Caenorhabditis elegans: one gene and its partners. The protein of the gene in region 1 purifies or fractionates together with the protein of each later gene. This does not show direct contact. Each region holds a gene or a part of one and is shown on either strand. Other genes may lie near its edges.

Evidence for each region.
Region 2: the proteins of T10B5.3 (region 1) and Y23H5B.5 fractionate together in Caenorhabditis elegans (co-fractionation; one large-scale study listed by BioGRID). This does not show direct contact.
Region 3: the proteins of T10B5.3 (region 1) and eif-1.A fractionate together in Caenorhabditis elegans (co-fractionation; one large-scale study listed by BioGRID). This does not show direct contact.

The regions. Positions count from the first base shown.
Region 1 is NC_003283.11:1,860,273-1,872,012, reverse strand, and holds T10B5.3 (Small-subunit processome Utp12 domain-containing protein), read left to right. Parts: upstream 1-3,441; 5' UTR 3,442-3,451; coding exon 3,452-3,645; intron 3,646-3,696; coding exon 3,697-3,924; intron 3,925-3,973; coding exon 3,974-4,212; intron 4,213-4,912; coding exon 4,913-5,112; intron 5,113-7,504; coding exon 7,505-7,531; coding exon of another isoform or gene 7,532-7,634; 3' UTR 7,635-7,835; downstream 7,836-11,740. Other genes in the region: T10B5.4 (aralkylamine N-acetyltransferase), read left to right, coding at 313-513, 584-822, 883-997, 1,279-1,437; knl-3 (Kinetochore NuLl), read right to left, coding at 1,652-1,825, 1,889-2,179, 2,233-2,799.
Region 2 is NC_003279.8:2,494,362-2,504,224, forward strand, and holds the start of Y23H5B.5 (U3 small nucleolar RNA-associated protein 15 homolog), read left to right. Parts: upstream 1-3,772; 5' UTR 3,773-3,774; coding exon 3,775-4,066; intron 4,067-5,610; coding exon 5,611-6,046; intron 6,047-7,617; coding exon 7,618-8,093; intron 8,094-9,658; coding exon 9,659-9,779; intron 9,780-9,863. Other genes in the region: ddx-10 (ATP-dependent RNA helicase), read left to right, coding at 575-991, 2,307-2,900.
Region 3 is NC_003282.8:4,807,061-4,815,477, reverse strand, and holds eif-1.A (Eukaryotic translation initiation factor 4C), read right to left. Parts: upstream 4,545-8,417; 5' UTR 4,543-4,544; coding exon 4,443-4,542; intron 4,396-4,442; coding exon 4,111-4,395; intron 4,064-4,110; coding exon 3,798-4,063; 3' UTR 3,495-3,797; downstream 1-3,494. Other genes in the region: srw-94 (G-protein coupled receptors family 1 profile domain-containing protein), read right to left, coding at 1-116, 162-440, 625-843, 899-993; srw-95 (G-protein coupled receptors family 1 profile domain-containing protein), read right to left, coding at 1,449-1,490, 1,541-1,670, 2,044-2,291, 2,369-2,495, 2,543-2,821, 2,983-3,201, 3,249-3,349; H06H21.37 (uncharacterized protein), read left to right, coding at 5,514-5,687, 5,783-5,930, 5,981-5,994; ubxn-6 (UBX domain-containing protein 6), read left to right, coding at 5,991-6,527, 7,010-7,411, 7,461-7,571, 7,625-7,888; H06H21.11 (uncharacterized protein), read left to right, coding at 8,186-8,268, 8,322-8,417.

The DNA of each region.
Region 1 (11,740 bases):
CGTGCTTGCGTCGCGGCTCGCGGCCACGGCCACCAGCCACAAATGCGCTCCATTGAGAATATTGCAAAGCAGAGCTCTCAGAAGCTCCATAATCGTCGAGTAGACACTTCGGTGAGGAAGGGGAGAAGTAGAAAAGCAGGAAAAGGAAAATGTCAATACTTGGAAGCATGGGAAATATGTGTGGTGAAAATGCAAATGTAACGCGTGTTGTCTCGGAGGTTCAGAGAAAAAGTGAGGGCTCACAGAGCTCTCGAGGAATAGTCTTTCACTTTTGCTTTCTTTTATTTTATTTTTATTCGCTTTTTTCTGCAAATGCCGGAGCTCACATTCCAAACTGGGCTCCTGGAGCACAAGGACCAAGTTCACAAGTTCCTGGTGGAGCATTTTAGAGTAATGGAGCCCATCACAACTTCATTGAGCTGCTCGGAAGAAGATGTCGCCGAGTTTTTCGTTGATTTGACGATGAGCGGGTTGGAAGATGAGAAAAGTTCAATTCTGGTTTTTGATGGGGAAGTAGGTTTTTGTTTTTTGTTTTTCAGATTTAATCTAGCTTCCCGCAAATTCTAGAAAAAAAAGTGTTCAGGAAATCGTGGCAGTTTGCCTGAATGCCGTCAAAGAATGCTCTTTTGTTTCCGAATCGACCCCATTCAATCCACACTGGGATTTTAACGCAGAAATCACAAATGGCCAGTACAAACACGAAAATGCCAACAAGTTGGTGGCATTCGTGCAGGTTTTGGAGCAAGACTTGTCGTTTTTGACTGGAAATCCGAAAAAAGTCTTCAAAATCGATGTGCTGTGCGTGTCGAAGGCTTGTCAAGGGTAGGAAGCAATTTTCTTCTTTTTTTTTCTTGTTCTCCTAGGGAATTGTGCTCAATTTAGGAAGGGAATCGGAAGACAGCTCGTCGAGAAGAGTCTGGAAAATGCTGTGAAGGAAGATTGCGAGTACGTGGCAACCGTTGCAACTGCTGTGGCTTCTCAGAATATTTTCAGCAAGGATAGTAGTTTCTTATTCAATAAAATTTCCGCTTTTTACGAAAAAAATAGAGCGAAAAGTCAGAAAACCTATAAAAAATACAGTACCCGTGTTTAAAGGCACACACACCACATCGGAAGCGTGGCGAGACCTTTGACCACGTGGCAAGACCAATTGAGGCACCACGAAATCTAGAACCGGTGGGATATCGGATCTGGCCCGTTTCTTTGCGTTGGCACTTGAATCCGTGGTGCCTCGATGAATTTTCGATCTAAAAGCTTCAAAAACTAATAAAATTCCAGTGTGGTCTCACAACACTTCGCGAAATGCCATTTTCCTGTTTTCGAAACAATGGCGACGTGGTTTTCGAGAACCTCGTCGACGGTGGAGTCAGCGGGAAACTAATGGGGAAGAAGCTAGAAAAACATGCAAATGAGGAGGAAGAGGACGACCTTCGATAGCGATAGCAACTCAAATTAAAGAAACATATATTTATAAAGGACCAAAGCAGCTAGGATCTCAACTTCAGATACTCAAAACCAATAATTAAAGTACACGTAATGAAATTGACACTTAATAAGCAAGACCTAGGCTATGAATAAAATATTATACATGTATTTATGAAATCAATTGTGTCAGAAATAGAATATTATACAGAGCGTGAGAAATCAGAAATCAGAATTCAAAAATTGGAATCGGCTTGATTTTGCTCATTAGAGCATCGATTCGCTCGAAGCCCTGCTTGATTTCCTCCCGGCGAGCGAGCGCTTCCTCTTCCTCTTTTCGCATTTTCGCCAGAAATTCATCCTTCTCTCTCTTGATCTTGTTGAGACTCTCCAGCTTTTCTTCCTGGAAATATAATATTGTATTTTTATTTTTAAAAATCATATTTAAATAATTTGAAACTCTCACCAGCATCCCGCGCTCATCCTCCAGCTGCTGGTTCTCCTTTTGTGCAGTATTCACGTTTCCGGCATCCTGGGTTTTGTCGAGAAAACTTCCGTGAAGTCTCGCAACGATATCATTTGGCGATTCTTCTTTACGCAGAGTCATGTCCAGGGTCTCGAGGCGAAGAGGCAGAGCGGACGAGATGAAGCTGTCCTTGGCGATTTCAATAGCTGACTTGAGCTTAGTTTCGCGGGATTTGAAAACCGCTTCCATGTCGTCGATATTCCGCGCCAGCTGTGCATCGTATTGGCTCATCTGAAAATGAAAATTTTAGATTTAAATGTAAAGTTAAAAATCGATAATACTACCTCTTTGATGTCGGTGGCCAACTTTTTCATGTAACCCGACATCTCCTGCGGAATCTTTGCCATCAGAAGCTCCAGTTGCGTCGAGTCATCAGCCTTGCGATCCTCGTTCGTAGTGTCTTTGCTGGTGAAGAACAGACGCTTCCCAGGCGTTGGCATCGACTTTCTCGAGGATCTTCTGCGTGGAGTCGTCGATTTTTCGCAAGGAGTTACGCCACGTGTCGGCGTTGCTCGCTGGGGCGACGGAACGATGGTTCCATCAACTTCCATCGGCTCAACGTCGTCGTCATCTTCGTGTTCCGAAACACTGAAAGTTTCTGGGCAACCTTGTGTTTCGTCTGGAACCTTCAAAGTAGGGCCACTAGCGCACGCGTCTGCAGCCAGAAAGGTGCCGTCTTTATTTCTGTCGGTGACTTCCGAAACATCGTGCTCGAGGGCAAAAACTGGCGGCCCTGCACGTGGCACCTCTCGAGCCACTTTCTTCTTTGGAACTGCTGATGATGAGCCGACGGGTGATGCGAAGAGCGCGGCTCTGACCGAGAATGTGGTGTCGTTTGATTTTTGAGACATTCTGAAATGAATTAGTGATTAAAAATGAGAAAATAACGTTGAAAACAAAGAAATGGCTTATTTTAATATGAAAATCCAACTTTTTTGATCTAAAATTGATAGAAAACGGGTTTTTCTATTTGAAAATAAAACTCATTTTTGTTAAAAAGCTTGCAGTTTGCCGAAAAATGCCGTAAAACATTATTTTCAGATAGACAAACCCGTTTTCTGCATTTTTATTTCAATTTTAGACAATTTTCGCTTAAAAAAGTTGGATTTTCATGTTGAAATAAGCCAGTTTCGTGTATTTTCCGGAAAAAACTGCCGCAAATGAAATGGAAATAAGAGAAAATCGCAAATTTTGGGCCCAAAATCCACCGAATGAAGGGGTCACGTTCAAAATTCGCGGGGTTAATTTGCCGCGCCAACCCCGTCACTGACGCATTTCTCGTCGCTTGCGCGTTTGCGGTGCAAAATTTTTAATCTTTATTTTCCTTATTTCCAGGCGTTTTTGAAGAGTTTTTCATGGTTTTCAGGCGTATTTTATTGATTTTTTATTGTTCTTATTAGTTTTTAAAGCTTTTTTACCGTGAAATGTATCTTTTTTGCGATTATTGTGCGTAAAATGGCCTTAAAATCGAATTTTCCAATATTTTTTTGCAGTTTCCAGAAAATGGCTCGAGAACGGAAAGCCAGGAAATCAAATGTGGCGGCAGTTACATCTCCTGCAACTCCTGAGAAAATCGAGTCCCCTGTAGTAAATGGGCATTCGCATATTAACGGTTCGCTTCGAAATGGGAAAAAACTGAGTGAATCGGAGAAAGAGGCCAACAAACCGCTCGGAGATCGTGAAAAAGAGCCAGCCACGTAGGATTATTGGTGGATTTTCGATAATATTCAATTATTTCCGATTTTCAGGCCAACTTCTGAACTCAAAAAGGGAAAAACGAGTGGTAGCGGCGGTGGATCACAATGTGTTCTGCTTACTCAGGGAATAATGGCTAATGATAGTGCAAAAATCGACTCAGTCATTAGAAATTTGAATTCTGAAATTATTCACGCTACCCTCCGTGATCTCCAGCCGATGCAGGTCTTGCCATTGCTCAAAATCATCGAATCTCGCTTGAAAACGAGGAATGCTGCAGAGTAAATCGAATTTTTAGTACTAATTCCTCCTAATTTATTGATTTTCCAGCATTCGTCCAACCATCCGATGGGCTCAAATCGCCTTCTCAATTCACATGCCTTATCTCAGCTCACTTCCGAATTTGGAGAAGGAAATTGGCGGTTTAATCGGCTGGCTGCGCTCAAGAGTCGGTCATCATCGAGATTTGTTGGCTCTTCACGGAAAAATATCCACAATCGCTGATCTTATCAAGAGACGAACTAATAATGTGGTTATTGTGCAGCAGCCGTTGGTTGTGTTCAATAATGGTAATATTTTGAGCGGATTTTCGCGGAAAATTACGCGCAAGATATTTTCCAGCGGAAAAGCCTGTGTTTCCCACGTTTTTCAGTGAAAATTCACTTGGTTTATCTGAAAATAGCATTGTTTTTAGTGGAAAAAGTGGAAAAAAACGCAGAAAAATGCAACTTTCAGGCAATTTTTGGGCATTTTCTCCAATATTTCTGCTGAAAAGTGTGTTATTTTCATATAAACCGAGAGAATGCGGCAAAATAGAATTTTTTGTAGATAAGCTCGGAAAATGAATTTTTGCAGGTTTTTTATAAAAAAACATTAAAAATCAGATTTTTCCGCGGTTTTTAGTATATAATAAGGTGAATATTCCTGTTCTCAATTATTTTCGGAAAATTCTACAAAAAGCCTGTACTTCCCAAATTTTTCAATAAAATCAGTCTCAAAACATAGAAATTCACTTGTTTTTACTGAAAATAACATTATTTTTAGTGGAAAAATTGGAAAAAGAGCAGAAAAATTGCCTGAAAGTTGCCGATGACCGATTTTTCGGCAACTTTCGGACAGTTTTTAGGCATTTTCAGCTACAAAAGATGATATTTTCAGTTAAACCAAGAGAATTTATATATCTTTTGTAGAATTTTCCGAAAAAAATTTAATTTTCAAAATGGCCGAGGTCTTATGAAGAATTTAAACCTATTTTTCCCCAATTTCCAGATCTTGATTCGGATTCTGAAGATTTTGACACAATTGGCTCGGATGATGACGGTGAGAGCAGCGAAGACGATTGGTGGGAGGATAATGAGCTGAAAGAGGATGAAGAAGAGAATCAGGATGACGATGACGAGGACGATAATGATTCGGATGATAGTGAAATGGACGCAGATAGTGCCGAAAGTGGCGGATCTGGATCTGAGGTTCGATTTTTTCCACTGAATAAGACACCACGGATTCAAGATTTGGTGGAATTCCGGATTTGGCACTGTGCCAACGAATAAAACGCAACTTTTCTCAAAGAAATACGCTAAACAACTCGTGACGCGTAATACCGGAGCATCGTTGTCACGTTTTTTTTCGAAAAAACTGCGGCAGTTGGCACGATGCGAGATCCGGAATTCCACCTGATCTTGAATCCGTGATTCCTAAAGTCAATTTTATGGGAATTATATTTAAAAAAAAATAGACATTGTGATATGGAAATAGTGGAAATACAGTGAATTTCGCTTCAAAAAATCTTAAATAGTTTTAAATTTAAAAAAACGGAAAAATAACGAGAATTTTCAATTTTGACTGAAATTCCTCCAAAATTTCGAACAATTTTGATTAAAAAACGATAATTGCCTCTTTGGAAACCGGAAATTGGAGTTATGAACTGGAAATTCGAACAAAATTTCGCTAAATATGTAGAAAATAATAAGTTCAACGTTTTTAGCAATTTTCAGAAATATCAATAAATTTAACCATTCTATTACGGGAACACAAAACTCCGAGAATGCGTATCGAACAACATATTTGACGCCCAAAATATCTCGTAGCGAAAACTACGGTAATCCTTTAAATGACTACTGTAGCGCTTGTGTCGATTTACGGGCTCGCTTTTTGTAAACTTTTTTTTTTCGAATTTTGACACCGATATTCAATTTTCCATCGTCTTTTTTCCTATTCTTTTTTCATTTTTGTGCTTATTTTTAATATTTTATCCAGTAAAAAATTATTTTAATTGAAAAACGTCCAATATTGGCTTCATTTTTATAGGGAAACTTCTACAAACGTATTTTTACATTATTTCCTGTTTATTGCCGGGTTTCAACTGGAAAAAAGCCTGCAATAGACGGAAAATAATGTAAAATACGTTTGTAGAAGTTTCCTCATCAAAATGAAGCTTATATTTGACGGTTTCAATTAAAATCATTTATTAATGGATAACATATTAAAATTAAGCACAAAAATGAAAAAAAGAATACGAAAAAGCGGAGGAAAATTGAATATCGATGTCAAAATTCGAAAATAAAACATTTTCAAAAGACGAGCCCGTAAATCGACACAAGCGCTACAGTAGTCATTTAAAGGATTACTGTAGTTTTCGCTACGAGATATTTTGCGCGTCAAATATGTATTTTCATTATTTTGTGGCACCGTAATATTCCAATGAAAAATAGTTCCCCACTCCCCGCCGTCTCTCTAATATCATAATATCATTAAACCTGTCAAATATCTCTTGGAAAATGGTGAATCTAATCTGCGCCTGAATCAGTACAGAAAATCCATTTTTATTAAGTTTTCTAGGGTGTAATTTCAGTTTTTGTGATGTTGTTGGGCAGCCAGAAGTCTCAGGGCGCGCGCGTACGCAATATCTCATCACATTGTATAATGAGAACCAGATTTTTGTTTGTGAACAGAAGCTATTACCTATTTTTGGATAAAGAATACATCTGGAAAGTAGTGATTTGAAAGAAACAAAAATTTAATATAAACTTTTTTTATTTAAATTTTGTGCTCTAGAATATCCGAAATAGCCTGAAATTCAGAAATATCACAAAATAAAAAGCGAAAAAAAAATGATGAAGAAATAACGAAAAACCCCTTAAAAACGTGAAAACTGCAAGACCAATCAGCGATTTGTACTCCGCCCACCTTTGAACCAATCAGCCGAAGTGGGCGGAGTTCGACGGTGGTTAATTGTTTTTCGGTGAAAATTTAGACAAAATCGAATTAATTTTCATTTAAAAAATTGGATTTTCATTATTTTTTTTTTCAAAAATAAAAAATAATTTAAAAAAACGGAAAACGAAAAATTTTGATTTTTTGTTTTTTTCAGAGAAATAATTGAAAAATCAAACAGTTTAGGTGTTTTTCCAGTAAAAAAATAATTTTTAAAAAAATCAGAAAACGAAAATTGTTAGGTTTTTTTTTCAGAAAATTGAAAATTTGAAAATTTTTAGGTTTTTTTCAGAAAAAAAACTTTTAAAAATCGAAAAATGGAATTTTCCGCTTTTTTCAGTGAAAATCGAAAAAATTAACTTTTTTTGTTTTTTCAAAAAAGTGAAAAAAAAAACCAAAATTTATCAACTTTTATCAGTACATTTGAAAAATTTCGATTTTTCGGTTTTTTCAAAGAAAATCAAAAAAAAAAAGCGAGAAAAATAAAAGAAATGTACGGAAAAATCTCATTTTATCAAAATATGTTGATTTTAATGAGAAAGATTTTTTTCCAAAAAAAAAAAACAAATATTGCCTTTTTTAAATATCAAATTGAAAAAATCTGTAAAATCACAAATTTTCGGTGTAGAAAATCCAAATTTTTTCCAGAACGACGAAGATATGGAGGTCGGATAAATCGTCGGTTGCCTTCGCCTTCGCCTACATCAATTCTCTCTTCTGTTGTTTTTTCTCCGTTCTTTCCACTGATTTCCCCCCCGTCTACAAAATCACTGAATAAGAGTTGCAGTTACTCTGTCCCTGTTCCTAACTGCACAGTTTTTTTATTGTTGTTGTTGTGTGTTGTTAGCCTTTTTATTTTTTTTTTTCAAAAAATTGTCCTCTTCCCATCCAAATTTTAACATTTTCCTTGCTTTTTTCCTCATTGTTATCATCATCGTTTTTTTTTGTTCCTTCCAGGTAAATTTGAGTATTGTTGAATTATTTTTTTTGGATTTTTTTTTCAGAGATGTCGAAAATCGAAATTTTTTTGTCGGAAAATTCAACAAATTTCGATTTCAAAAAAACTTTAAAAATTCTCGTTTTTCTTTTGAAATCAGAAAAAATAGATTTTCGATTTTTTTTTAATCGAAAAAAATGGATTTTTGAAAACGAAAAATTTCGAATTTCGATTTCTATAGGATAGGAAAACATCTTTTTCATTTTTTTTTTTGAAATTGAAAGTATTTCGATTTTTTATGAAAAAATTTAATATTTTTTGAAATCGGAAAAATTCGAATTTTTGAAGTCAAAAAATGTTAGATTTTCGATTTTTATGAGATCGGAAAAAATTAGATTTTTTTAAAATCGAAACAAACTTCAATTTTGAGATCGAACAAAATTTACGATTTTTTGAAATTGAAAAATTAGATTTTTTTTTTTGAAATCATAAAATGAATCTAAAAAATCGAAAAATTGAGATTTTTTATGTAATCGAAAATTTACGATTTTTGAATTCAAAAATCGATTTTTTTTCGAATTTTTGAAGTCAGAAAGTTTCGTTTTCTATTGGATCGGAAAAATTCAATTTTTATTTAATCGAAAAATTTGGATTTTTTTTGAAATAAAAAAAATTTTCAAATCGAAAAAATTCGAATTTTTTTGAATTCGAAAATTTTGAATTGAAAAAATCAATTCAAAATCTTTTTGAAATCAAAAAAATAAATTTTTTTAATCTAAAAATTTTTTGATTTCAAAAAATTAGATTTTTTTTAAATTAAAAAAATCGAATTCTTTGAAATCAAAAAACCAAAAAAAAATAAAATAAAATTCCCAAAAAAAGCTTCACCCTCCAAATTCCACCCTCCAAATGTCGCGCAACTTCACCAAAGAAAAAAAAACTTAAAATTCATCTTGAGAGCATAAAAAAGTGCCAAAAATTTTGGTGGTGGCGCTACTTCATTTTCGCCTGCGTCTCTCACCTTTCTCACGTTATTTCGCCTGCCCCCTGTAAGCCTCTCTTTTGAAGTAATTGAATTGGGGGCTCTTCGCCTTCTTCGGGTGCCCCAATTCCCCCCCCCCCCATTCAAAAAAACTCTTCATACATACAAAATTTGTTGGGAAGTAGGAAAAAAAATTGAAAAAAAAAGTTTTTTTTAGTTTTTTCCCCAAAAAGAAAATTTAGTTTTACAACTTTTAGCAATTTTTCACAGGGTTCTGGCCTTCCTCATTGAATTTTTCGCGCTCCATTGACAATTGCCAGCTCGGAAAGTCGTGTACTCCACACGGACAAATACATTTAGAACTAAAATCGAGCCGCGACGCGACACGCAACGCGCCGTAAATCTACCCCAGATATGGCCGAGCCAAAATGGCCTAGTTCGGCAAACTCTTCCATTTCAATTTATGAGGAAAGCCAGAATTCCGTGTCTTAAGCAAATTTTATGTGAGAAATTTCGCGAATTTTTCAATGTTTTCGATGTGAAATCGAAACAATTTCACGGCTTATCAGCTGCGGCAGCGAATTTGGAGAAAATGTGTTTCCAGGACAGATTGGGCGCCCGCACTTGTCTCCGAAAAATGAACAACCTAATTCGGTTTTTTTCTTTTTTTTTTTGGTCGTCATCATTTTAAATACTAAATGCAATTGTCCCAATTTGTCGTTTGGGTTTCATGGCCGCGGAATAGAAAAATGTCGGCCATCAATTTATTTGCGAATTTAAAAAAAACGAAGTGTCCAAAAGGAATTTTTTTGTCTCCGATTTTTTGAAAGAAAACCCCATTTTGTATGGCCTAGTTTTGTGGCCAATTTGTCTTTTTTAAAAGCATATAGACAACCATCATGGATTTCTGGCTTCTCTCATAAATTGAAATGGAAGAGTTTGCCGAACTAGGCCATTTTGTATCGGCCATATCTGGGGTAGATTTACGGCGCGTTGTGTGTCGCGTCGCGGCTCGGTTTTAGTTGTAAAACTAATGTATTTGTTCGTGTGGAGTACACGACTTTCCCACGCGTCGTCCGGCGAGTGATTGTCAATGGAGCAACGAGGAAGGCCAGAACCCCTTGATATCACGCAAGGACGTACAGGTGGCCGCGGAATAGGTAAACTAGGCCATCAGTTTCTGTGTCGCAGCCGAGCCGCAAACCAGTCAGCCTGAAAAAAAAATTGGTGGCCTAGTTTTCCCATTTTCTTGACAGTGGCCGAGAGACTATTGGTGGCTGACTTTTCATTTTTTCTAAGAAAGCGTCCAAGAAAATATTGATAGCCGAGTTTTCACTCGAAAAAATAGTGGTGGCCGAGTTTTCACTCGAAAAACTATTGGTGGCCTAGTTTTCCCTTTTTCTAGGAAAGCGGCCGAGAAAATATTTATGGCCTAGTTTTCCCATTTTCTGCACATGTGGCTGAGCTTACAATTTTCTACTAAAGCGGCCTAGTTTTCCCTAGAGAAAATGTTGGTGGCCTAGTTTTCCCATTTTCTGGGCAATGGCCTTGTTTTCCCTCGATAAAGATTAAATGACCGAGTTTTTTGTTGTTTTCTGAATAAGTTTTTTCTGGATAAACTATTGGTAGCTTACTATTAGTTTGCCCATTTTCTGGGCAGTGGCCAAGTTTTCCTTTTTTCTCGGAAAGCGGCCAAAAAAATATTGGTGGCCGAGTTTTCCAATTTTCTGTACAAGTGGCCGATAAAATATTGTTGGCCTAGTTTTCCTAGAGAACATGTTGGTGACCCTTCCTTTCTCCTACGAAACCTTTTCCTACGACTTTTTTCCTACGAAAGCAGCCAAGAAAATATTGGTGGCCTAGTTTTCCCATCCTCTGTGCAAGTCGCCAAAAATTATTGGTGGCAGAGTTTTCCAACTTTCTATACAATCGCCGAGAAAATATTAGTGGCCGATTTTTTCTATTTTTTTCGGAACAAGTGGTCGAAAAAATCTTGGTGGCCTAGTTTTCCAATTTTCAGGACAAGTAGCCTAGAAAATATTGGTGGCCGAGTTTTCCCTTTTTCAGGACAAATGGCCTAGAAAACATTGGTGGCCGAGTTTTCCAATTTTCTGAACAAGTGGCCGATAAAATAGTGGTGGCCGAGTAGTCAAAAATTTTTAAGGATAAAATTCAGACCGATATCCCCTTCCACCACTTCCCCGTTATACAACAATTCGGCCCTCCCCGGTAGTCATCCATCACATTAGGTACAATTAAATTCGGAAATATATTTGACTGTGCGTGTCGCTTGGGGTGATGTCCACTACTCGTTTCACCGTCCATTCTCCTATTTTCCATTCTTACTTTCACTCCTACTGCCCCACTAATTTTTTCCAGGTCAATTTGTAGGAAATTCACTTTTTTTTCGAAATAGCCCTAGCTCAGACGTGGCCGTGAAATGGGAAAATTCGGCCACCGATAGTAAAGTCAAGTTTTGAAAAAAAATCCAGGCACTAGTTATGAAAATAATTCTGAAATTGGCCCAATTTCATGAAAAGAAAAATAGTTTTTTTCCAGTGTATAGAGAATTACAGCTAATATTTTGGAATATTTTCCAGGTCGTCAAATTTTGGGTCTCGAAGCGAAAAAAATTTGGATAATTACCGAAGAAATAAATTTCGCTTTGGGACCCATTTCTTTTCGCTGCGGGACCCAATTTTGTTGCGAGACCCAGCTTCGTTGCGAGACCCAAATTTGCTCGTTGCGGGACCTAATATAGGAAACCCGTTTTTAATTGCGGAACCTGCAGGATCCAGCTGGAAAACCCATTTTCGCTACAAGCTCCACTTTTTTTTAAAGGGACCACGTGGTGTCAGGCTGTCCCATTACGGTTTGATCTACAAAAAATGCGGGAATTTTTTGCGCAAAAATATGTGACGTCAGCACGTTTTTAACCATACGGAATCAGTTTAGAACTCTGCGT
Region 2 (9,863 bases), on another chromosome or scaffold:
TTCGTTTTATTTCAATATTTCAATCAAAAAATATCAATTTAACGTTAAATTTATTTTTTTTAAACTGAAATATGGAAATAAAACGGAAAAAACACAATTTTTCACAGAAAAACTATAAAAAATCGATGAAAATTCTATGGTAACGAAAATTTAAAATTACAGTACTCCTTGTGGAATTTTTCGGTATTTTTGAGGAACCGAAAAAGCGAAAAATTTCCGTTTTTGGATAAATCAAAAAAAAATCTGGAAACAATATTTTTAGGCCATATTTCATACAAAACACAGAATTTGCACTTTTTGAGCAAATTTGATCCTAAATTTTTTTTCGATTTTTCGGTTTTTTTATTTAAAAAAACCGAAAAACGAAAAATTTTCGTTTTTTATTAAAAAAAAAACCGAAAAACGAAAAATTTTTCGTTTTTTTATTAAAAAAAACAAAAGAACAAAATTTTTTGTTTTTTTTTATTTAAACAAGCACCGAAAAACGAACATTTTTCGTTTTTGTTAAAAAACAACCGAAAAACAAAATTTTTCATTTTTTTATTTAAAAAAAACCGAAAAAAAACTGATTCAGGTGGATTGCCCGGCTCAAATCGACGATTACATTCATCGAGTGGGTCGAAGCGCCCGAATGGATGATTCTGGAAACTCATTGCTCATGGTGAGCCCGTCACAAGAAGAAGCAATGATTGGCAAGTTGGAGAAGCACTCGATTCCAATTGAAGAGCTCAAAATTCATCCTGATGCGATGAGCGATGTTAGGGTGAAGCTTCGGGCAATTCTCGCAGAGTCACAGGAGTTGAAAGAGTACGCACAGAAGAGCATTGTCGCATATCTTCGATCGATTTATACGATGAAAGATAAGAAGGTTTTTGATGTGGAGGCTATTGATGCAGCTGCTCTGGCGGATTCTTTTGGACTGGTTTCAGTGCCAAGGGTCAGGTTTTTGAATAAGAAGGCCAAAAAAAGCGGCGAAAAATTGATGGAGAAGGTACTTTTTTTTTGAAAAATTGCCATTTTTTTGCAAAAAATGAAAAAATAAGGTAAAAAAATAAGAAAAACCGCGCGCCGCACGGTTGCAAAATTACGCTCCGCCTCTTTTTCTGTGCGGCGCTGCTGATTTTTGCAAAATTTACGAGACCCGGCCGACCACGCCCATAAAACCATGCGGAAAATTCAAATTTTGCATACTCCGCACGGTTTCGGGAACAAAAATCGTGGCCACGCACGCCCATTTTTCCGTGCGGCACGAAAAAATGGGCGTGGTCTTGGTTTTCTTTTCACCAGTTCTCCTATCGGTGGTGCCTCGAATTTTGTGCCCAAAACCGTACGGGGGTAGCAAATTTTGGTTTTTTTCCGCACGGTTTTATGGGCGTGGCCAATCTCCCAGCAGCGTCGTATAGAAAAAGAGGCGGAGCGTAATTTCGCAGCCCTGCGGCACGGTTTTTCACCTTTTTTGATTTTTTTTTTTCGATAAATTTTCGTTTTTTCCGAATGAAAATGTTGTCCAATTGAATTCTTATAAGATTTTTTAAAGAATTAAATTGGATAATATTTTCATTTGGAAAAATCGAAATTTTTTTGAAAAAAAAGGAAAAAAAAACCGTGCCACAGTCTTGCAAAATTACGCTCCGCCTCTTTTTCTGTGCGAAGATGTTGGGGAGATTGACCACGCCTATAAAACCGAGCCGAAAATTATAATTTTGCAACCCGCACGTTTCTATGGGTGTGGTCAATCTCCCTAGCAGTGTCACACAGAAAAAGAGGCGGAGCCTAATTTTGCAACCGTGTGACACTGTTTTTTTTCCCGATATAAACCAAGTAAAATCGAAACTTTATTGAGTAAAATCCTCGAAAAAAACCGTGCCGCAGGGCTGCGAAATTACGCTCCGCCTCTTTTTCTATACGACGCTGCTGGGAGATTGGCCACGCCCATAAAACCGTGCGGAAAAAAACCAAAATTTGCTACCCCCGCACGGTTTTGGGCACAAAATTCGAGGCACCACCGATAGGAGAACTGGTGAAAAGAAAACCAAGACCACGCCCATTTTTTCGTGCCGCACGGAAAAATGGGCGTGCGTGGCCACGATTTTTGTTCCCGAAACCGTGCGGAGTATGCAAAATTTGAATTTTCCGCATGGTTTTATGGGCGTGGTCGGGTCTCGTAAATTTTGCAAAAATCAGCAGCGCCGCACAGAAAAAAAGGCGGAGCGTAATTTTGCAACCGTGCGGCGCGGTTTTTCTTATTTTTTTACCTTATTTTTTTCATTTTTTGCAATAAAATTTTCAATTTTAACATTTTGCAGGAAGTAAAAGAAGAAGAAGAAGAAGCTTCCCTAGTTGGAAAATTCGCAATTGATGAGGACGATGAGGATATATTCACAGTGAAAAAGCCTACAGGAGAGCCTGAGCAGATCAAGGAAGAAGAAGCCGCTGAAAAGATCTCAAATATCACCATTTCCAAGACGAAACCGCTCAAAAAAGCAGTGACAAAAGTGTCGGCGGCGAAGAAAATCCTCAACAAAAAGCTTAAAGTTAACACGAAAAAGACATTTGGAGCAGAAGATGATGAGCTCGAAGAGCTCGAAGAAGGCCCCTCAACTATCACCTCCTATGGTTTGGATATTGAAAAAGCCCGGCAGGAGATCAAAAGTGGCGATAAGGAGGATCGGAAAAGGTTCAAGCTGCTCCGCGAGCAACGGAGACAGGAGAAGCTTGCGAAGAAGAATCGGAGAGCTGAGGAGGAAGAAGCTGTGGAGTATGATGAGGATGGAAGTGAGGATGAGCCGGATATCTCGTGGCTCCCGGATCCGGATGCGGTTAGAAGGAAGTATGAGGAGGAGCCGGATGAGGTGGAAGATTTGGAGCAACAGGCTCTTGCGGCTCTTGGGAGGAAATAATTTAAATTTTATTGTTTTTTCGGTTTTTTTAGATTGTTTTTGAGTTGTTACTTGTTATTCATTCTTTTTTTTGAGTTTCTTGAGTTTTTCTTCAGTTTTCCAAAGAAAATGTTGAATTTATTTGATTTTTTCCTCGTTTTTTGTTACTTTTGGTGTTATCATGCACATTTTTATATCTTTTTTAAAATTTTAAAATTGTTCAAAATGTTTCAGGTCAAAAATCAGAAAAAAAAACCATTTTTAAAAATTGAAAAGAAAAATTGCGAAAATTAAGACGCTTTTTTGACTTATGCTTCGAGAAAATTGAATTTAACGCACGAGTAATGTACTTTTTTTTGCGAAATTAAAAGAAAATTCACTTTTGTGGTATCAGAATTTGATTCAAAATTAATTTTAAACCCAAAAATTGGTATTTTTTCGGGCAAAAATCTTAAAATTCAGCAAAAAATAGCGAAATTTAAGCCATTTTTTAAGTTTAAAGTTTACAAAAATTGGTTTTTTTTCAGCATCTATCGAATTAAGACAAAGAAAATTGCAAAATAACAAAATTTCACGTTTTTTTGAAAAAAAGAAACTTCTCGATTTTCACAAATCTCCAATTTTTCTTCTCGAATTTCAATCAAAAATTTGCAAATTGAGAATTTTTAAAGGTTTTTTGAAACCAATTCTGGAAAAAAATTGCCGGAATTGAAAATTTCCGGCAAATTCGGCAGTGTGCCAGATAAGAAAGTTTCTGGCAAATTCGGCAATTTCCCGGAATTCAAAACTTCCGGCAAATTTGATCTTCAAAAGAAACTTTTTTCTTCAATTTTCTCTCAATATTCACAGTTTTTTTCAGAATTTTCCCTCAAAAAAAATTGTTTTTTTTCCAGAAATGGCTCAACCATACCTCCCCGCAGAGAAATTTCTCTCCAGAAAACAAGAGACAATTCTTTTGGACGAAGATGTCATTTATTGGAAACGAATGCAACAACTCACCGTATTCCAGGAGCCAGCCGTCGTCAGCTCCGTCAGAATTTCACCGAAAAAGCCGTATCACGTGGCAACGACTAGCAGTGTCCGTCTAACACTCTACGATACAGTAGTCTGTGAACCATTGAACCTATTTAGTAGATTCAAAAAAGGAGTATGCTCTATTGATTTTAGACATGATGGACGGCTTTTGGGTGAGCAAATTAGCTGGAAAAATGGAGAAAAATCGCGAAAATTCTAGAAAAAGCGTTTTTCAGTGAAAAATTCCAAAAAAAATTTGAGTTCGAAAATTATAAAAATTTTGACATTTTTCAAAAAAAAATTCACAGGGCAAAACCCGAAAAAAAAGACAAATTTGAGATTTTTTAAAACACCGATTCTAGAAAACAATAATTTATATTGCAAATTTTTTTTTTCGACTTCTCACCTTTTTAAACTTTAAATGTCCAAAAAACATTTTTCTTACGAAAAATTTCAGAAAAAATTTTATCATCGATTTTCTAGCGTTTTTCCACTAAAAAATTGAAAAAATCCAAATTTCAATAAAAAATTCCTCTTTAAAAATGCTTAAAATTTGAGGAAAATCCCGATTTTCAATGCAAATTTCAATAATTTTGCTAGTTTTTGAATTAAAAAAATTTATTCACATATAAAAAATCTGGCAAAACCCACAAAAAACCTTTGAAAAATGACAAATTCGGGATTTTTTGAAACCAAATTTTGAGAAAAACTATTTTAGAAAAATTGCAAGAATTGGAAAAAAAATATAATTTTATGAAAAATATTCAGAGAAATATCAAGAAAAAAATTTAATTTACATATTTTTTGACACACAATTTTCAAAAAAGAAGTAAAAACCAACCAAAACGCCACTAATTTTTGATAAAAATTCGGAAATTTTTAGAATCCGATTTAAAAAATATATACTGAAAAAATAAAGTTTTCTCTCAAATTTTCGAAAATATTCGGATCGAAAGCCGACAATTTTTTTACATTTAATTAAATGCCGAAAAAAACGCTTTCTGAGAATGCGTATTGCACAACATATTTTACGCGCAAAATAGGGTCTCGTAGCGAAAACTACAGTAATCCTTTAAAGGAGGACTAACGGTTCGGACGATTTTGAACGTATAGACCCGAAATGAGCTCAAATGAACGAATTTCTTAATGAAATTTCTCAAAAAATTTTCTAAAATTTTTATGGCGGTTCAAAATTTCGAAAAAATTACACTGATTTTAGCTAAAATCTCGAATTTTGCCTATTTTTTGGTGTCACATTTGTCCGAAGTTGACTTTTTCGGAATTATCATCCTTTATTGCATATATTGGTAGTTTATCTCATTTAATTTCGTCGATTAAAGTAAATTTAAAGCCGATAGGTAACCAAAAATCATCAAAATTGGTTACCTATCGGCTTTAAATATACTTTAATCGACGAAATTAAATGAGATAAACTACCAATATATGCAATAAAGGATGATAATTTCAAAAAAAATGAACGAACTTCGGACAGATGTAGCACAGAAAAATGGGCAAAATTGGAGATTTTAGCAAAAATCAGTCAAATTTTTTTCCAATTTTTTGAACCGCCATAAAAAATTTTTGAAAAAATGTTGAGCAGTTTCATTACGAAATTCATTCATTTGAGCTCATTTCGGGCCTATACGTTCAAAATCGTCCGAACCGTTAGTCCCCTCCTTTAATTGGAAAATTTCCAAATATAAATCTAATTTTCCAGCAATCGGAGGTGACGAGGGAAAAGTTCGCATCTTTGACGTGGAAAAAACGACGGGCTCGAGTAAAGTTGCTCTTCGTGTAATGCAAGCTTCTCAGTCAACTGTGAAAAGTGTTCATTTCTCTCCACGTGGTGATACTGTCTTCTCAATGGCCGATGACGGAAAAATCAAGCAATATCGAGTGGCAGACACGGCTTACGGAGTAAATGCCGTTCCAATAATTGAAATTCAAGCACATGAAGATGCGATTAGATGTGGAGCAGTTTCATCAATTAATGATCATATTGTACTGACTGGTGGTTATGATCATAAAGTTCGGCTATGGGATATTAGAAGTAAAGAGAAATCATTGGAACTCGATTGCGAGCATCCTGTTGAATCGGTGCTCTTTTTGCCTGGAGAGCAGCTTATTGCCACTGCTGCAGGTCCTATTGTTAAGTGAGTAGTTGGAAGCTGAAAAAGTGCAAAAATTCAGTGAAAACTTGAGCAAAAATGCTTGAAAACGTCAAAAACACGAGCAAAAAAAATTTTTTTTTGAAGATTTTCCTTCAAAAACTGCCGTTTTCAGGCCATATATGCAAATTTGCCGATTTGCCGGCATTGAACATTTTCGGCAATTTGGCAATTTGTCGGGATTGAAAATTTCTGGTGAATTCAGCAATTTGCCGGAATCGAAAATTTCTGGCAAATTTGGCGATTTGCCGGGATTGAATGTTTCCGGCAATTTGGCGAATTTGTCGGCAAAACGGCAATTGCCAGAATTGTTAAATTTCGGCAAGTTCGACAACTTGCCAGAATTAGAAATTTCCGGCAATTTGGCGAATTTGCCGGAATGGAAAATTTCCTGCAAATTCGAAAATTTGCCTGAATTTTAAAATTTCCGGCAAAAAAATTATTAAAAAATCCGGTAGTGTAACAAATTGCTGGATCGGAAAATTTTCGGCAATTTCGTTCGACAACATGCCGGAATTGAAAGTTTCTGGCAAATTGAGCAAAAAAAATTCCTGCAAATTCGGCAAACCTGCAATTTGCCGGAATTAATATTTTTCGGCAAATCGGTAACTTGCCGGTATTGAAAATTTCCGGCAAATTAGGCAGTTTGCCGGAATTTAAAGTTTCCGACAAATACGGCAACTTGCCGGAATTTAAAAATTTCGGAAACTTTGGCTACCGGCAATTTCCCGGAATGGAAAATTTCCGGCAAATTTGACGAATCGGCAACTTGCCGGAATTAAAAGCTTCTGGCAAATTGAGCAAAAAAATTTCCTGCAAATTCGGCAATCTGCCGGAATTGAAATTTAAAAATTTCCAGCAAAAAAAAATTGAAAAAAATTCGGCAAACTTGGCAATTTGCCGGAAATGAGAACTTCCGGAAAATTCTACAATTTGCCGAAATTTAAAATTTGGGCAAATTCCGCAATTTGCCGGAATGGAAAATTTCTGGCAAGTTCGGCAACTTGCCGGTATTGAAAATTTTCGGCAAATTTGAAAAATTGGCAATTGCCGAGAATTTTCGGCAAAATCAGCAACTTGCCGGAATTTAAAATTTCCGGCAAAAAAAAAGTTTTTAAAAAACCCGGCAAATTCGGAAAACCTGCAGTTTTCCGGAATTGAAAATTTCCGGCAAATCGGCAATTTGCCAGAATTAAAAATTTCCGGCAAGTTCGCCAATTGACCGGAATTGAAATTTAAAAATTTCTGGCAAAAAAAAATCCCAAAAAAAAACCTGGCAAATTCGGCAAACCGGCAATTTGCCGGAAATTAAAAATTCCGGCAAATTCAACAAATTGCCGGAATTGAAAATTCAGCAACTTGCCGGAATCGACAATTTCCGGCAAATTCGGAAAACCGGCAATTTGCCAGAATTGAAAATTGAAAATTTCTGGCAAAAAAAAATTGAAAAAAATTCGGCAAACCAGCAATTTACCGAAAATAAATTTGTTGAAATTCAGCACTAAAATGGAAAAAAAAACCTTTCAAAATCCACAAAAAAAAGCGAATATTTCCAGAATCTGGGACACAACAACGGGCCGCCAACTGACAGCACTTCAAGCTCACTACAAGACAGTAACATCTCTTCGTCTGGCCACCAATTCCACATGCCTCTTGTCTGCCGGAATTGATAGACGTGTGAATGCATTCAGAACAACAAATTATTCATTAATCAACTCATGGTCAATGCCATCACCAGTACTTGATATTGATGTATCACGTGATGATCAAACAATGGCAATTGGAATGGGAAATCTGTTGGCTCTGTACCGAAGAGCTGAGATTAAGAAAGAAGCCACTGCGTCTGCAGCCATTGAAGACAAAAGATCGCTGATTCGAACGTCTGCACCGCCTGTGAAGCTTGTCGAAAAGGATCGAGATATGCAGAAAGTTGATGTGGTGGCCAAGAATGCGGATAAACTGAAAATTCCGAAAATTGATGGAATGCTTTCGAATTTTAAGCATGCGGCGGTTATTAAGCTCCTTTTTGGAGGTAAAAAATGCGAAAAATTTTGGAAAAATCAATAATTTTTTTTGAAAATTGCCAAGAAAAATAGAGATATTTTCAGAATTCTATGAACAATTGATAGTTTTCTTTAATATCATATTTCTCTAAATTAGAAAAAAAACTATATTTTTCGATTAAAAAATCGATACTTTTTGAAAAATTGATACTATTTAAAAAAATAAATTTTTGCAAAAATCGATACTTTTCGAGAAAAAAATCGATACTTTTTGAAAAAAAAAATCTATAATTCTTGAAAAAATCGATAATTTTTGCAAAAATCACCGAAACATGCTCAAAAAAGTTGAATTTTTGACTGAAAATTGAGATTTTTGACTGAAAAATGGTGAAAATATCGAATGTTTCACGATTTTTCCAGTGGGAAAGCTCTATTTTTAGTAATTAATTAAATTTCACTGAAAAATGCTCAAAAAAAATTGTATTTTCTGCTGAAAATTGAGATTTTCGACCGAAAATTGACATTTTGAAGCTGTTTTTGGCTGAAAAAGCTGAAAATTGGCAATTCTCAAGAAAAATGCACACAATTTCTCGAATTTCACGTATTTTCAGCTTTAAAAATATTTTTGACAGAAAATTTTCTATAATATATAATAGTTCTATTTCCTTAAAAAAAAAAATTTTTTTTTAAGGAAATTTGATATAGGAAGTATGAAATTTTATAATACTTTTCGAAAAATAATACGATATTTTTCGGATAAAAAATCGATAATTTTTGAAAAATGTTGATAATTTTCGGAAAAATCGATACTATTGGAAAAATAAATACTTTCTGCAAAAATCGATGCTTTTCGAATTGAAATCGATTATTTTTTGACAAAAATTGATACTTTTTGAAAAATGTTGATGATTTTCAAGAAAAATCGATATTTTTTCGAAAAAATCGACACTTTTCGAAAAAAAAAATCTATAATTTTCAAAAAAAAATCGATAAATTTCACTAAAAATTGATAGTTTTTTGGCTAATTTTTTAAATCTTTTACCTCAATGATTCAAATCCAAAAAATTGTAATTTTTTCAAATTTTAAGGCTTATTAAACTACATTTCGGAGGTAGAAAATGCTGAAAATTGGTTTTTTTCTTGAAAATATGCTGCGAAATACGAATATTAATCCCATTTTTCCGATTTTCCGAAAAAAAAATTCTAAAACGAATTTTTCAATTTTTAGCTTGAAATGTTTCATTTAAAGAATATTTTTCGAATTTTCAAAAAAAAAATTCGTAAAAATTTGAATATTTAATTTTTTTCACTTTAAAGTCAACTTTTCAATTAAAAAAAAATACAAAAAAGTGGAAATTATATTTTTTTTTAAGTTGTGCACCTTTTAATCTCTATAGGCGCACACCCCTTTGCAAAAAAATTACAAAGATTTTCGTGTCGAGACCCCGGCTACCGTAATTTTTCAGCATTAAATTTCTGAAAAAAAATCAATTTTTGGGAAAAAAAAACATTTTTCGTTTCCTGGTCTCGAAGCGATTGATTCTCCATTAGAAAACCCCCCCCCCCCCCCCCCATTTATCGCCAAAATTTCCAGGAAAATTCCGTTCGGCAATGGATACGGCAGTTGTCAGTTATCTTCGAGTAATCGTAATGCGCGGAGCCATTCATCGAGCTCTGGCTGGTCAGGAAAGAAGTGTTCAAAAGAATATTCTAGTGTAAGATTTTGCACGAAAATAGGATATTTTTAGTGAAAAACTAGGAAAATTTCCGTAAATTTGATGATTTTTTAGTATAAAAAT
Region 3 (8,417 bases), on another chromosome or scaffold:
TACCATTTATGAGTTGATAAACTTTTCCAACCAGCCCGTCATTGGCTGTGTACACTTCCGACTGCACAAGATTATAAATATTGAGTGAAACAGTAAAATTAGCAGACTTTGAACAACTGAAACTTAGATCAATCAATAATTATTTTAAGTTATATAATCACTTATTCAATGGCTTCCAGTCTCCAATTTTTACAATATCGTATCGGAAATAAAATATAAAAGTGAGAGGGAGACTTAGAGCAAGTGCTCCCATAAAAATGTAAGCTCCAAACTTTGAAAGTGTGACTTTTCGAAATGCACGTCTAGTTGAATACTTCATAACTATCCAGCGAATTAAAGCCATGGCTACGCTGAGCCACGTGGAACATCGACGAAAAAAATCATTGATTACTATATTAATCCAGTACATATGAAATGGTGGAAGAGATAAAGGAGGCTCACTGAAAAAATAGGCACAGTAGGTAGATCAATTGTGGAAATTTTATAAAAATTACTCCGCCAGGTTAAAGAACATAAACAAGTAGTACAAGACAATCGGATTAAAAACAGAAATAGGTGGAGCCTATTTTTGATTTTTATAAGGAACATCGATAACTGGCCTATATCTTTTAGTGGTAAACTGACCAAGGTTTCACATTAAATTCTATCATTAAATACAAAATATTATAAAACACAGAAGCCACCATTGCAAGTATATCACAAAGAGCCACTCCCATCATTATCAAAATTACTGAAGATTTCAAAATTGATTTTTGAGATAAAACGAATAAATGGAAAGATGTGGTAAAAACGCCAATAATGGAAAATACTATATTCAAGGCAATAGATGGATGAACAAAATTTCTGAAACAAAAATGAAATATGATCTGGAATTTAAGCTGAAAAAGCTTCAACTTACTCGACGGTTTTTAGAAAGTGATAAAGTTGAATTTTAGTCGCATTATCATAACTTGGAAATGCTGAAGTCGCTAGGTTATAGGTATTCTCATCCATTTTTTTTTGGGAAGAATTACCAAATTGAACGGAATAATTTTTAATCAATGCCACTTGCATGTGTGCTGTTGTTATAACAGCAGTTGTTTCACCTGTCGTTTGGTGCTGAAATTTGAAGCTTGAGCTTCAGGAATTTTGCTCAACAAAAAAAAACAAGGAAAATATTGAGTCAGTTAGTATTGTAAGCGGGGAGACCTTCGAAAAATAGTATTGCAGCCATATTAATAGAAGAAATACGGTATATAGGTTTTATAAACATGTCATTTTCTAAAAATCATTTTGTCATGAACAAGTCTCATAGATTGTTCTGTTATTATAAATATAGTGAAACCGTCATCAAATGTTAAAATATTTCACTTCATCTTTACACTATTTCAATTTGAGTTTATTTTCCATTTTTCGGAGGACAGTTAAATTTCTTTTTAAATTAAAATATCAATAAAGTGGAATTGTGATCAGGTGTAGCTAGAGCTGACTGCAATGATGATGGGTGGTCGCTGGAATAAAAATAATTTGTAACTTAATGAGCCCAAACTTTGATGGTTACATCATTCTTGAATATTTTTGAAACTGCCCTCCGATATTGTGATGACATCAGAAAGAAGATGGCGCCTTGAAGAGCCGCGTGTAGAACAAAGAAGGCACTTGAAAATTGTGCAACGGAGGTTGCCATTCTCCTGAAAATTTTGATTTCTCAAAAAAAGAATTCCCACACAAATATTTCCAATTATTCTATCACGTTATCACTTAAAATCTGAAAAAAATTGGAGTCCATCAATGCATTTGAACTAAATGTAGATCCCTTTTTTAATAGGGTTAACAAACCAGAATTATTACGGTTTCACTAAATGCATAAAATTACAGCAAAAAAGTGGAAAAATGTTAATCCTTTGAAATTATATTCGCTATAAACATGTCGTATAGTTTGTATTATCATTATAATTAAGAACAGACGATAGATTAAATATGTTTGTTTAACTTTCGGGTGGCATATGTTTTCATTATTTTCAAATATTGCCAAAATTAATTTCTAATTATTCAAACCCTCACCAGTATCCCAAGTCAGTATATCCAAATTGTAAAACACGAACAATTCCATTTGGAACTTCAATAAGAAATGTAGAAGCTGTTATAAATACGACTAGCCCCGTGGTTCTTTCTGTACTGGCAACTGACTGGGTTTCATTGATAATTACTGGTCTTATAGTTAAATTTAACATTCTCTGGTGATCCTTGGCTTTTTTGAGTTCGACAATAAGCATATAGGTTAGAACTGGAAGCAGAAAACATGGAAACAGCTGAAAATTATTTTTATTTTTAGGAACCAAAAATTAGTTCTTGGTTAATTGCTTTAGTAAAAACAAAATTATCCCACTTTGGAAATTGTTCCATTAATCAATTGATATACTTTTCCTACAAGTCCATCGTTAGCCTGGTAGACTTTGGATTGTACCAAAGTGAAGATAACACGAGATTCTGGATAACTCGTTGCAAATGTGCAACTGAAAGTGTATTTTTAATTAGGCAAAGGTTGTTAAATCTGGATTACTTATTCATAGGCTTCCAGTCTCCAATTTTAACGATATCGTATCGGAAATAATATATTACAGTTAATGGAATGCTTGATAACAACGTTCCAATAACTAAAGTGAATCCGAATTTGGGAAAATTAACTTTTCGAAATGCTCTTCTCGTTGAAAACTTCAAGACGATCAGTCTGATTGTGGCCATAACTACGCTGAGCCACGTGGATGTTCGACGGAACAAATCATTAATTACTACATTGATCCAGTACATATAAAAGAATGAAAGTGGTGCAGGTGGTTCACTGGAAGTGGAAAGATGAGTTGATTTAACATCGGGTTACAAAAGTCAAGTACTGTTTACTACGTGATCTCTTTAACTACGATTTAACCACATAGATCTTTTACTACGTTGGGTTACTGTAGTAGTACTGTGGAACTAAGCTTTTGAATAAATGTACTTTACCAGGGTTTCACATTAAATTCCAAAATCAAATAAAGATAGTTATAAATAATAGAGACAAACATCACTAATATATCACAAATAGCGATTCCTATCATTATCAAGATTACGGACGATTTTAACATTGAATTTCGAGATAAAACGAATAAATGGAATGATGTTGTAAAAATCCCAATTGATGAAATTACAATATTAATGATTATTGATGGATGGACAAACTTTCTGGAATTTGACGGTAATATTACGGGATTTTCAAAGCTAAAACTTGCTCAACAGCTATAAGAAAGAAATATAAATCAATTCTAGTCGCATTATCATAGCTGGGAAATGCAGAAGTTGATAAGTTATAAAGAAGCACTCTGTCAATCATTTCATTCAAATTCAGCTTAAAATAACTGAAATAAATAATTTTTACTATATGAATACACGTGGCCGCGAGTTGTGACATTTTGATGCAAATGTTTCACCTGCTTTTCGGTTTGAAGGTCGAGAGTTGTGTGCTGCTTTAAACCCATAACAAGAAAAGTTTATCAGAAAACAATATAAATGAAAGGAAAATAGTGGAATACGGGATAATTTGCAATAAATGAGTTGTTTCATCAAGTGGTGTCCGATGGACCGAAACCTTGAGGTTGTGTTGATCATCGGACACCACAATCGAATTATTTCACTTTGTAGCATTCAAGTAACGGAATTTCGGGAGACAGAGAAGATGGGAAGATAATGTCTGAAAAGGATCGAAAGAGAAACAATGGATTTTTAGGGGGAGAAAGAACAGAAACCGGGGGAAACAATTAAAAACCAATAATTTAATCAATTTAGCGTCTCTTTCCGTACTTGTTCTTGCCACCACGATTTCCGCCGCGACGAGTGTCCTCTTTAAATCCACGACCAGCTGCCAAGTCCTCTTCCCGAATATTGTCCGAATCATCTGAATCTTCGTCTGATTCCTCTTCAGAATCATCGTCCGATTCTTCTTCCTTATCCGATCCTGCCTCTTCGTCAGACTTCTCCGAATCACTGTCTGATGAATCTGAGTCAGACTTTGCTTCTCCGGCCTCTCCCTCGTCTCCGACGTGATCCACTGAAAAAAAATTGAACTTCATTAATTTTCAGCAAAAATAAACTTACAGAACTCAACCTCTCCCTCGTCTTGTTCATCGTTCTCATTGAGCTTGGCGTTTTCTGGGATAAGTCCCTCGTTCTTCAAACGGCGAGCTTCATCTGGGGTGTACTTCAGAATAACATCTCCCTTGTCGTCTTGATAATCTCGGAGACCGACGAGAATGATATCTCCCACGTTGATCCAAACCTTCTTCCTCAACTTTCCACGAATATGGCAGACACGCTGCTTTCCATCAAAACAGAACACTTGAACACGACCGTTACCAAGCATTTTTGAGACTTGTCCATATTCTGGAATTAATGCTTTTGTTTTTCGGGAAAGAAGTTATAAAATCTACCTTGTCCCTCCTCCTTGAGGTCGAGCTCGCGCTTCATGAAGTCGTTCTCATTCTTTCCTCTTCTGCGATTCTTTCCTCCCTTTCCCTTATTCTTCGGCATTGCTGAAAATATTACGAAATAATTTGGAAAGTTGAAGTTACGAGAAATACAGAAGCAAAGAGGACTGCAAAAATTGTAGAAAAAACAAGAACATAAATATGCATAAGGTAATGTCAGATTTCAATGGAATTTAACAAAAAATTAAGAAGAATGAGTATACTATCCCAAAATAAACAGTTTGCTTGGATTTCGTGAGTATTTTGATGAAAAGTGATTTCTAAAAATTGGAAATAATAATTTTATCAGCGCTTGAGATTAAAATTATGTCGTCAATCGACAAAAATAAACAAAATAACAGAAGAAAAATTTCAATGAAAAATCGACGAAAATGTGGAGTGCACAGAAAAGTGGGCGGGGTTTGCTATCGCAAGAGCGCGGCGCGAGGTTACGTAACTGCGGACTTGGCGACACAATTTACGACACTCGCTATTTTTATTTTTTATTTTGCTTATTTTTTATTTTTCTCTCTAAAATTTTGTTGTTTTAACGAATTGTTTTCGGAAAAAAGTTATTCAGAATCAAAGATTACTTCATAGAATATAATTATTGTCCAAAATATAAAAGAATTGTAAGATAAACATCTCAAAACGAACATTTAACCGCAAAAACGTATTTTGGGAAAACAATCACAAACTTTTCACGCAAAAGTGTTTTACCTACATTTTTTTGTAGTTTATTAAGTCACAAAATTAACGACATCATGAAAAATACAGCAGATAATATTTTTCTGTCCGAAAGCTTTCCCCAGTTTAGTTTTCTCCAATAGAAAAACTCCAAGTTTTTTATAGCGTTTTCGAGATGAGCTTTTTTTCAAATTTTCTGAAATGAAGTTTGAAGTTTGTATACAACCCAAAATATATGTTTATCACCGTGCAATATCACAAATGTCGTCATCGCCTTCTGTCCTATTTCGCAATCATTAATTTCCGCAAATCTCTCTGAAAAAGAACTACAATTCCAGCTATTCTTGCATGGGAGAGCCTCTGGTCGCCGAGCCGACAACTGAGCAGACTCCGTTGAGCACAAATTCAGTTGCTTATCAGAGCTCCGACGCGCTTCCAGATTCCTCAGAAGCATTCGGAGTAGAAAACGTTTATCGTGCTTTGATTATCTTCTGTGATAATTATTCGTTGGATAAAAAACAAGTGCGTTAGAGAACATGTTTTTGAGATTTTCGAAATTTTAACGTGAATTATTGTTCTTGTTTCTGTCTAAAATGGCCAAAATTTGAAAATTTCAGGTAGCTCTCGGACTCTTTCTTTCTATTCTACTTTTCATCTTCTCTGTTGGCACTATCATTGCGTGGAATCGATATTCACCAATCATTCAGGAGTTTATCATAAGAGAGAACATTGAGAAAGCGAGAAATAAGAGCAACGAAAAAAATAGTAAGATATTTAACAAGTTCTGCACTGATAACCATTCCAATTTATTTCAGAGAAAGAAGAATGAATAGTTTCAAGAAATTCCTCAACAAAAAGCGAGTCCAGAATCACTTCAAAAAGAGCGGTGAAGGTGTTCGTTTGTCATCCGGCGAGTCATCTTCGCAGCCTTCTGCCCACGCTGGAGCCGCCCAGGGAGGCCAAATTGATCGTGTCGCGGCCGCTGATATTGCTGCTCAGGCTGCTTTCAAACGGATGCAGAAGAATGAACCTCAACAAAATGCTGGAAAACGAAGAATTCAAATGATTGCAAAACGAGAGCTGGAAGAAGAGAGACGTCAGGTTGAAGATCTCAACATTTCTGGGACTTCATCACTGCAGCAACCCGACCGTGAGCAACACCTCGAGCATTCATCCGCAATATCACGTGTTCTCTACACTTCCGAGTTGCTCGGTGAGCATCATATTCGCTCGAAAGCAGATCTTCTTGAAGATATCAAAAATTTCCTTTCTGATCAGATCAGCGAGGCGGATGATGAAAACGATAAAGTGATTGCCGCAGTTTTGATGCTCTATTCACTTAATAAGAAACATCCCAAGGAGGTTTGTGTATGCTCAGAATTTCAAAATATCGAAAAAAAATGAACTCATTCTGGCTAAAATCTCCAATTTTGTCAACTTTTGTGTGTTGCAGCGGTCGGAAAATGTTTTTTAATCTATTGTAATAGTTTCTCACATGTTATAATAACGTTATTTCGTTATTTAGCCAATTTGATCATTTTTAGCTAACAATAGGCTAAAAAAGTTACTTTGTTAACGGAATATTTCGGCAAATTGAAGAGTTTCGCTAAAATTTGCCCGTTTTTTTTTTCTCAAAATTTTGAACCGCCATCATAGTTTTTGTGACATTTTTGTCACATTACCGTTGAAATTAAACTATCTATCCGCAAATTTCGCAAAAATCAGCGTCGCACAGAAAGAAAAAATCAACACGGATTTTTGTAAATCTGCGAATCGGTCGTTTCACCTAAACTGTACGAAATTCGTTGTTTTGGTAGAAAAACAAACAATCTTCTAAATTTCAGACTGCCATCGAAACAATCTGCAAGTATTGTCAAAACATTTTGGAACACCCAGGAGAGGATAAATACAAATCAATTCGTTTGGGAAATAAGGCATTCCAAGAACGAGTTGCATCAGTAGTTGGAGGACGTGCATTCCTTGAAGCTGTTGGATTTACTGAGAAATCTGAAGGAGAAGACAAGTTCCTTGTGTTCACAAAACCATCAGATGTTCATTTGGTGGAGGCTCTGGAAGCTTTGAAGGATGGGCAGGCTGTGCCTATAAAGGTTGCTAGAAATCTAGAGATCTTCAAGCTAAAAGAGGGGCAAAAACCGAAAGCACCAAAGTTGGCAGATGATTTTTACAATTTGTCGACTGCTGAACTCAAAGCCGAACAGAGAAATAAGGAGATGCAGGTGGAGAGAGTGAGTGGAGCTTTAAATTGAAAAATCACACAATAAATTGAATTTTTAGATGCTGACATTGCGTACGAAGGAAATGAGACAAAAAGACGAACAAATGACCAATTATCGCTACAAATATACGTTGATTCGTGTCAGATTGCCTGGAAATTTGTTGATGCAGGTATGTATATTCCAGAAATTCAAGTGATTAATTATTTTATTTTATTTTTCCAGGGAGTATTTGGTTGCCATGAACCATTTTCCGCAGTCCGTGTCTTCGTTGCTTCAACTCTTTCCGATGCTCTTTCGACATCCGAATTCACTCTTCGTGACGCTGCCAGTCAACTCGTGGAGGATGAATCTGCATCGTTGGCTCAACTCAGTCTTGCTCCAGCTGCTCTTCTTCATGTCGTCTTCGCTGAAAACCTGTCTGATTATGGACAAATCGTTGCCGATGAGCATATCGAAATTATCCAGGAGCTTGAAGCTTCCGACTAATTTTTGTATAATTTAAAAATATAATTCCCGGCTATTAGTGTGATATGTTTGTCATTATTTTTTTCCGGTACTGCTGATGTTTTATTTCGCCTAATCGCTTTCGTTGTATTTAACTTATAAGATGCAAAAAGATTCGAGCAGCATATTAAAGATTTTGTACAGAACCGCACTTTAACTGTTTCTCTATTCGTTGTATATCGATTTTTATTTTGAAAATTATTCACTCTATCAAGAAGAAGCCGAAATTCCGCCCACTGCATCTTTTTTCAGTTGTGCTTCTCCAAAAACCATTTTCAGATGTCACAGGATCCCACGATCTCCAATTTTTTAAATGGAAAACCCATCATCGCACCTGTCGGGCCATCTTCTTTATTAACCAGGTTACTTTGAAGCAATTATTTAATTTTTAAGAAAAATTAATTCGAAATTTAAGATTACAATCGTTCCTGCCTCAAATGGAAGAAGCCAATCGAAATATGCCGGAAAACGCGTCAGCTGACGCTTTTCATATTGAAAATGTCGAGGATGA